Sus scrofa: one gene and its partner. The protein of the gene in region 2 purifies or fractionates together with the protein of the main gene of each other region. This does not show direct contact. Links are inferred from orthologs where the notes say so. Each region holds a gene or a part of one and is shown on either strand. Other genes may lie near its edges.

What was found. The genes of interacting proteins can lie anywhere in the genome.
Region 1: the proteins of PTP4A1 (region 2) and CNNM1 purify together in Homo sapiens (affinity purification with mass spectrometry; 4 studies listed by BioGRID and IntAct, with this or other methods). This does not show direct contact. The link is inferred for Sus scrofa from reciprocal best matches to the Homo sapiens genes PTP4A1 and CNNM1.

The regions. Positions count from the first base shown.
Region 1 is NC_010456.5:110,538,061-110,542,181, reverse strand, and holds the start of CNNM1 (metal transporter CNNM1), read right to left. Parts: upstream 2,809-4,121; 5' UTR 2,444-2,808; coding exon 880-2,443; intron 1-879. UniProt on the Homo sapiens protein: Probable metal transporter.
Region 2 is NC_010443.5:45,168,497-45,172,723, forward strand, and holds the start of PTP4A1 (protein tyrosine phosphatase type IVA 1), read left to right. Parts: upstream 1-1,416; 5' UTR 1,417-2,200; intron 2,201-4,227. UniProt on the Homo sapiens protein: Protein tyrosine phosphatase which stimulates progression from G1 into S phase during mitosis. May play a role in the development and maintenance of differentiating epithelial tissues.

The DNA.
Region 1 (4,121 bases), on a different chromosome or scaffold from region 2:
CCATGCTGATTTTTCTGGAATGAACTCTACTCAACCCCCAAAGACAGTTTCCAAAGGCAGACCCAAACATGTTATAGACATGACATCAAAGGCAAGGGATGTGACCGCTCTGAAGGAAGCCCCATTCACTTGGATAGGCATGTTTTCTAGTGGTTCTCTTTACCAGAATATTTCCTCAGGTCTAAATCTATTTTACGTCATGGGACCACAGTTCCTAGGAGTACAAGGACCTCACTGTTTTAGTCAACTTTTAATCTCCAACCAGGGCACTTGATGGGTGTCCAAGGCATAGCTGATGGAAAGATCAATATGGGGGAAGAATGTCTAAGGTGTCTGGGACTTACTCTGTGTGATTCAAAGGGCAGAACTAGGGCCCCGAGTGGGGCGCTGGAGACACAAACTTCTGCTTCTTGTAAGAAAGAGCTGTCAGCAGCTGGAGCTGTCCAGCAATGGAGTTAGTCTGCCCTGAAATTGGGAATGGTAAACTTCCCACCCAGGGAGGAGTTTAAAAAGTCAAGGCTGCTTATTATGGGAATCCTGGAAGGTTGCCCCTATGATGGGGAGCTATGCAGTGCCCTCCAAGGGCTATACCCTGAGTCCAATCTGCACAACACCTAGCAATTGGTAGGCCCTGAAAAAATACTGGAATGGAATGAATGAGGAATACGGTGCATCCTGAGAGCCAAGTAAAGGGGAAGAGCCTTCAAAGAAAGGAGGGAGAAATGAAAAGAGGAAGGGAGCCTTGAGGCAGGGCCTTCCTTGAGTTTTTGGTACCACAGGGGAGAAGCTGCTTTGCACACCTGAAGCCTCACATGTTTATGAAAGGGTAATATTTCCAAAGGGATAGGGGTTGAGAGAGGAGATACACCACATGCTCACCCTTCTTAAACTCCTCCAGCACCGTGTCCAGCCGGGTATCATTGAAGACGCAGTGCAGGGGCCGGTTGTAGAAGCGGGTGACGGTGAGGAGCGGCGTGCAGTCGTCGGGGTCCACGAAGGCCAAGTCCTTGACAAACAGAATGTCCACAATGTTGTGCCGCTGGTCGCCTTCGTACACGGGGATGCGAGTGTAACCGCTGCGCAGGATCTCGGAGACAGTGGCGAAATCCAGCACTGCGTCGGAACGCAGCATGAAGCAGTCCCCAAGGGGGGTCAGCACCTCCTCTACCACCTTGGTGCGCAGCTCCAGGGCGCCTTGAATGATGTTGAGTTCTTCCTTTACCAGGTCGCTGTAAGGGTCCGCGGCCCTCAGCGTCTCCAGCAGCTTCTCCCGCGTGTAGAAGGTGCTGATCTCTTGGCGCAGTGCCCAGTCCAGCAGGCGGCCCAGCGGGTAACACACGGGGAAGGCGGCCGCCATCAGGAGCCGGGTCAGGCACACGCTATGCGAGGCAATGGCCAGTCCGTGCCGCGAACACACAGAGTAGGGGCAAATCTCGGCGCCCAGGAACACAGCGCCTGTGCACACCAGCGCCGGCAGCCACGGGAAGTGAATCCCCGCGTCTCCATAATCTTCCCCGGCGTCCCCGACGCCCGGGGGCAGCGAGGCGTACAGCCAGCCCGCCAGGGCCGCATTGGCTCCGGCTTGGCCCAGGAGCAGGGTGCAGAGCAGATGGGTCCCCCTGCCGCGCACGGCCTGCACTCGGCGCGCCTGTTCCTGCTCGGCGGCTGAGCCGCTGTTCCGCAGCACCCGTAACTCCACCGGGTCCAGCGAGAGCAGGCTCAAGCGCAGGCCGCTGAACAGGGCAGACAGGGCGAGCAGCAGGAGAGCTCCGAGCGCCCGCAGCCACGCGGGGGGCAGAAGGTCCCCGCCCGGGCCATACAGCCGCGGGCGGACGCGCAGCAGGAAGCCACCGGCAGCGCCGTGGTGGTGCCAAGCGCGCCCGTCCCAGGCGCACAGCGAGAAGAGCTTCCCGCCACCGCCCGCGCCGCTTCGCTCTGCCTCGCCCTTGCGCAGCTCCCGCACCCGCACCTGGACTAGAGCCGAGCCCGCCACGCCACCGGGGCGCAGGGGCCCCAGGACCTCCACGTCCGACGCCCAGTCGCTCTGCTCGCGGCAGCGCTGCGGCCCCGGGGGGCGCGTGGGGACAGCGCTGGGGGCCACGCCGCTCCCGCCCGGGGGCTCCTCGATAAACACCAGCCGCGGTGCCCAGTCACCGGTGCCGTTCTCCCCCGGGGAAAGGGTGGGTGCGGGCACCGGCGCCACGGGCGCCGCGGGCCCTGGCTGGAAATAGACGCGCAGAAGGAAGCTTGTGCCTTCAGCGGCGCGCAGGGTGCCCCCCTCCAGGGACACGCGGCCTCCAGCGGTGTCCTCGGGCCGCAGGCCCAGCAGCCAGGCGGCGGCGGCCGGGGGCCGAGGGGACAGGGAGAAGAAGAGCAGGAGTACAGCGCCCTGGCTGCAGCAGTCTCGGAGCCTGAAACCCACCGCTGCTGCGGCCGCCGCCATCCTGCACTCGGCGCGGCTGCACGTGATACTGCAGAAAGCCGAGCGAGAGCTGGAGGGAGGAGGAGCCGGAGCCTGGAACCCTGCCCCAGGCAGGTCACCACGTGTACGCCTGCGGCCCGCGTGAGCACTAGGCGAAGGGGGTTCAGACCCTGCCCCGCCCGTGGGTCCCCGCGGGAAGCGGGAGATGGTCACCCCATCACTGCTTCGCGCATAACCCCGACGCACTTCAGTACCTCAGAGTTGCCGCCTAGGGAAAGCTTGCCTTGGAGCATGGCCTCCTACTCCAACACTAGGACGCCCCTCAGCGAACTCCTACCCGGCAGTAATTCCCTGCTGGCCCTCTGCTTCACCATTGGCTGGGGAAATTTCCCAGCCTTTCGCCTCTCCTCCTGCCTCTTGCGTTCCCCCTTCTGGTCAAAAGATATTCTAGAGACAATTCTTGAATCATTGTGTTTGGTCTCAACTCTAGCTGACCTTTCATGTTTCAAAAATTTCCAAACACTTAGGTTAAATTGGTTAAGACCCAGATGCCCATTAATAAGAAACTTTTGAAATAACAATACCACTGTGTGGTGAAATACTATGCAGCAGGAAAAAATAATGATATGGATCCATGAGTTTGTGATATGAAAATTATCTTCAAAGTAATGGTTGAAAAATATTAAGACACAGAAGAATGTGTATAATATGCTACTGTTTGCATTAAAGGTATATGAGTATAAATGTATATTTACATATATACATATATAAAATATTAGATTTAATATGAGGAGGATACACAAGAAATTTGTAATAATGTTCATCTCTGGGGAGTGGGTTCATAGCACAATACTAAAAGCAGGAATTTGACATTGGTACAATGTGTGTGTATAGTTTTATCTCACTTTTTAACCACATGTATAGATTTATATAAACATTGCTGCAATCAAAATGCAGAACTATTCTGTCACCATGAAGATCTAGGAGGGAGACTTTTTACTGAATTCTTTGTGTTATCTGAGTTTACCATAGGCCTATTAATTTACTTTTATACATTTATTTAAAATATCTCTATAGTTAAATTCACTTCTTGATGTATTGTTCTATGAGTTTTGACAAATACATATTCATGTAGCTATCACAATAAAAAATAGTGCCATCATCCTCCAATATTCCCTCTTACTGTCTCTTTGTAGTCAATTCCCCGCCCCCCGCCATTTTATCCGCTGGCAGCTACTGATATGTTCTCTCCTATAGTTTTCTTTTTCCAGAATGTTGTATTAGTGAAATAATACAATGCGTAGCTTTTTGGATCTAGCTTCTCTTAGCATTATGCATTTGAGAGTCATCCATGCTGTTGTAGTTATCAATAGGTCTTTCCTTTTTAACAACTGGGTAGTATTCTATTACATGGAGGTATCACGATTTGTTTATCCATTTACCAGTTAAATAACATTTGAGTTATTTTCAGTTTTGGCAATTATGAATAAAGCAGCCATAAATGTTTGTGTGCAGGTTTTCATGTGAACATATGTTTTCATTTTTCTTTGTGTAAATTTACCATAGGTCTGTGTAAAAGTAACTATAATTTGGCATACTACTTTTGGCACCTCTAATTTAATTTTAAAAAATCATATGTAAAATCTTATTTTTCATAGAGTTCCAAAGACATAGATTGAGAAAGACTTCAAAGGATAAA
Region 2 (4,227 bases):
AGGGATCAAACGCTCAACTTCATGGTTCCTAGTTGGATTCGTTAACCACTGAGCCACAACGGGAACTCCTTTTTTATTTTTATTTTTTTATTTTTTTACCTACACTATTGTATATGTTGCTCAAGCTTTTCCATATCAAAGTTTTAAATTTTTACATAATGAAATCTGACTTTTCCTTTGTGACTTGAGTTCCCTTATCTTCTTAACAAGGTTTCTCTCATCCTAGGACAATTTTTTCAATACTCCTATTTTTTTTAGGATTTTAAATATTTACATTTTTACTCGTTTATAGTTTGTGAAGGGACATCATATATTTCTCAAGCTCTTTAATCTTCCTTGATGTAGATGGATTCAGAAGTGTCCTAGGCAAGCAATTTCTTTAAAATGAAGATGACTTCTGTTCCTGTGAAAGCCTGCCTGATCCAGTTCTTTATTTTTTTGAAAGCACTTTGTTTGCAGAGTATATGCTTATAAACAAAGTTGAATATCACAAATGTCATAATATCATTTATATGTGGAATCTAAAAAAAAAATGATATAAATGAACTTATTTACAAAACCGAAACAGATTCACAGACTTTTAAAACAAACTTATGGTTACCAGAGAAGAAAGGTTGGAGGAGGGATAAATTAGGAGTTTGGGATTAACATATACACAATATTCTTTATAAAACAGATAACTGACAAGGACCTGCTGTATAGCACAGGGAACTGTACTCAATATTCTGTAATAATTTATGTGGGGAAAAGAAGGGATATAGGTATAACTGAATCACTTTGCTATACACCTGAAACACATTGTAAATCAACTATGCTCCAATAAAAATTTTTAAAAAGTTGTCTACACAAGCACAGTCTCTTAAGTAGACGTTTTAATAAATCCTAAGATGCTGCAGTACACTGACCAAGAAAACAATTTGATCCCTAAAGCCCTCTCCAATCTATGCTCAGTGAAAACAGCAAACAAAAGGCCTGAGTAGAAAACCTAGTTCTTCAAAGCAGGTAAAACTCCTGTTTACTCCTTCCAGAAGAGAAAGAGTTTTCAGATCATAAAAGACAGAATTGCCCGGGTGCAAGACAGAACAACTGTGATAAGGCTTTACTTCCTAAAAGTCTAAATTACGAACAGTGGAACAGTTCTGAAAATGAACAAAAAGGAAAGCAATAGCTTTGAGGCAAAGAATCACATCAGTCTGGCAAAATCGAAGATTCTTAATTTTTAAAACGCTGCCTAACCTTTTATTATCTGTGACAACACATCAAGTGAGCAGCAGTACAAAGGATGCCTGTGATTTAGAAATGCCACGCTTGAGCCAACTACAGTTGCCCGCGTGCGTAGCATGAAGGCGTGACCAAAAAAGACTGGGGAACAGAGGGCTTTATCTGCATCACAAGACACTCTCCGTTTTCTATACACGAATGTTTGCTGAAATAAGTCCTCTCCGCTCGCGCTACCGGGGGCAGGACCGAAACATCACAGGTGTTGTCGCGGGCAGGTGGAGCCACAGGAAGATTTCACGTTGGGGATCGCAGGGCGCAGGTGCCCAGGCAAACCGCTGGTCAAAATGACTGGGATCTGACTTACGGCAAAAGAAGTAGGCCTGGGATTGAGACTACGCTCCAGTCCGAAGTGCACTGCATTCTAGTTGAGGCCAACTTCGGGCCTCCTCCTGAGATGAGAGTGCACTCGTCAGGGGTTTAGTTACGTAGAGCAGCCTCTCATCCCCGTACGGGGCTTCCCCTGCAGACCCTCCAATGACCCTTCCCACCCCCGCCTGGTAGGCGCTCTGATTGCAGCCGGTCGCCATTCATCAACCGGTTCACACCGGCGGCCGCCGCCGCGCTGTGACGTCGGCGAGGCGGGCCTCCGCCCCCGCTCGTCGGCGCTAGGATTGAGGCCCGACTGCGATTGGCCGCCTGGGCGTTCACGTCACTCTTGCTATAAATAAGAGGGCTTGTGACGCAAGGGCGCCTCGGCGCACGTATTGGCTCATTGGGCTGCGGGCCGGCGAGGCTGCGCGCTCTCCCCGGAGCCGCTCGCTGCAGGATCGAGTCCACTGCCCTCGCTGCCTCCAGCGAAGCCGCCGCTAGCCCGCGAGGACCACCGCCACCCCTGCCCTACCGCTGCCGCCTGTGTCGCCGCCGCCTCGGGACCGGCTGTATGATTAAGCCACAATCTTCAATGAGTAGACATATTCCTGTGAGTACCCGTACCCCGTGCCGCCGCCTTTGTTCGGAGCCTGGCTCCGCCCGGGTCCCGCTGGTACTGGCGGGCGAGCGCTGAGGGCCAAGCCCGGGGCGCCGGGCTGCGCGGTGGCACGGGAGCCGCTTTGTGACCACCACCTCGCTCCGGCACCCGGCGGCGCCCCAAGGCCCCTTTGTCTGCCGCAGGGCCCGGGAGCGGGGACGTGGCCCGGGTGGGGCGCGGGTTGCGCGTCACTGCAGCGGGCGCGCCCCCAGACCCTGCGGGCGGGTGGGCGAGGCGGCTGCTCGCGGGCTGGGCCGGACTCCTTCGCGGAGCCGGCGGGATTGGGCCTGTGCGGCCACCCAGGGCCCCGCGGCTGCGGCCGGCGCTCGGACAAAATGGCCTCGGCGCCGGACTGAAGACGCGGCGCGAACCCGTGACCCGGGCCCGCGCGGCCCCACCAGGTGAGCGGCCCGCCCCGCCCCACCGGCTCCGGACAATGGGAGCAAGTCCGGGCTCGTCCCTGCTCCGGGGCGGGGCAGGAGGGAAGCGGCCTGGGTCTGAGCCTGGGGAAGCTTCCGGGCCGCACTGCGCGAAGCCAAGGGGGCCCGGTGCCGCCTTTTAATCCGGCACCCTTAGAACTTCCTGAAACCCCAGATGTGCTGTGTTTGTTGCCTCCTGTTGGCTTGCATCGCAGGGCCCAGCCAGAGCCAGAATTCTGAGGTTTATCTCTGTCCGTGGAACCCTCTGCGGTTCCAAATGTATTTCATCGTTATTTACACTGCAGTTAGAACTATCGATTTGCTTGAGATCTAGATTATGAGCCAGTGCTTCCCGTTACTCTATATGTGAATTTTGTTTGGTGGCAGTGAAAAAGTTGAAAATCAGAAAGCTAGATCATTCTGAAAACTAATCAGCATTTTATACTTGTTATATTCCAGGTGCATTGCCTAAGGTATAGGTAGATGAGGCACAAATTGCAACTACCTACCATCTGATAAAATAGTTAACACAGATTATTGTGATTATGTACAACTGATAAGTGGAAGAAGAAAAAATTCCTTGGTATTTCTAGATTGCCTATCATGGATAGGTTTTCCTGGGGCGAAGACATTGGGAATGGGGAAGTCCTGGGCAGAACAGAAAGGTGTTAGGTGTGCACAGTCACTTCCGCTTTTGTGGAAATTCATCACCCGTCTGTCCCCTACTGGGTGGCTCTATCCAGTCCACTGAAAGAATTATTTCTGTATTGCTTTCTGTGCTTCCTTGTGAGAAATTGCTAGTTGAAGGGATATGGCCAGACAGCTGTAACAGGAATTTTAGTTAAGTATGGAAGTAGTATTGTGTGTTTCTCTACAGATCGCCTTTAACTTGAAAAAAGTAGTACCTGGAAGTCAGAATACTGAGATTAGAGTCTTTGACCTTAACAGCTTTGCAAATTAATTTATCGTCATTGGGAAGGTGCCAGAAGACACTTTTTATTCCAAGGAAGTAGTATTTAGGATTTGAGGTAGAAAATATAATTGGAATTACTTCAGTTACTGCAGTCTCAGGTAAAGTGTTTGGGGCAGTGGCTGGTTCTTGGTGCTGTTATTAACCTGTTCTTAATGTTTGTCCTTTGTTTACTCCCAACCACACTACACACAAGCTCCTTATAAAGTACTTGGAAGAAGAGCAACAGCAATATCAATGCTTTTTGTGTATTCATTCTGAAAATACCCTGTGAATATTCATTTAATATTTGACATTGGCATAAAACTGTTTTGGTTTCTTAAGAAGACCTTAGGAAAAACATGATTGGTAGTAGTAGTAATCTTGCTCTTGAGACATGGGAGAAAAAAATGGAATTTACACCACTGCCCTCAGCCCCTCCCCCCCACCTCCTTCTCTCTTTTCTTTGGATTAGATTTTAGTTAAAGATGGAATAAGTGGAATTTGGGCTTTACAATCAAAAAATTTTTACTGAAATTATGAACAGCTTTTTTATAGTTATAAGTGGGAATTATTTATGTATATACATTTCTTTGTAATACTTCACATAA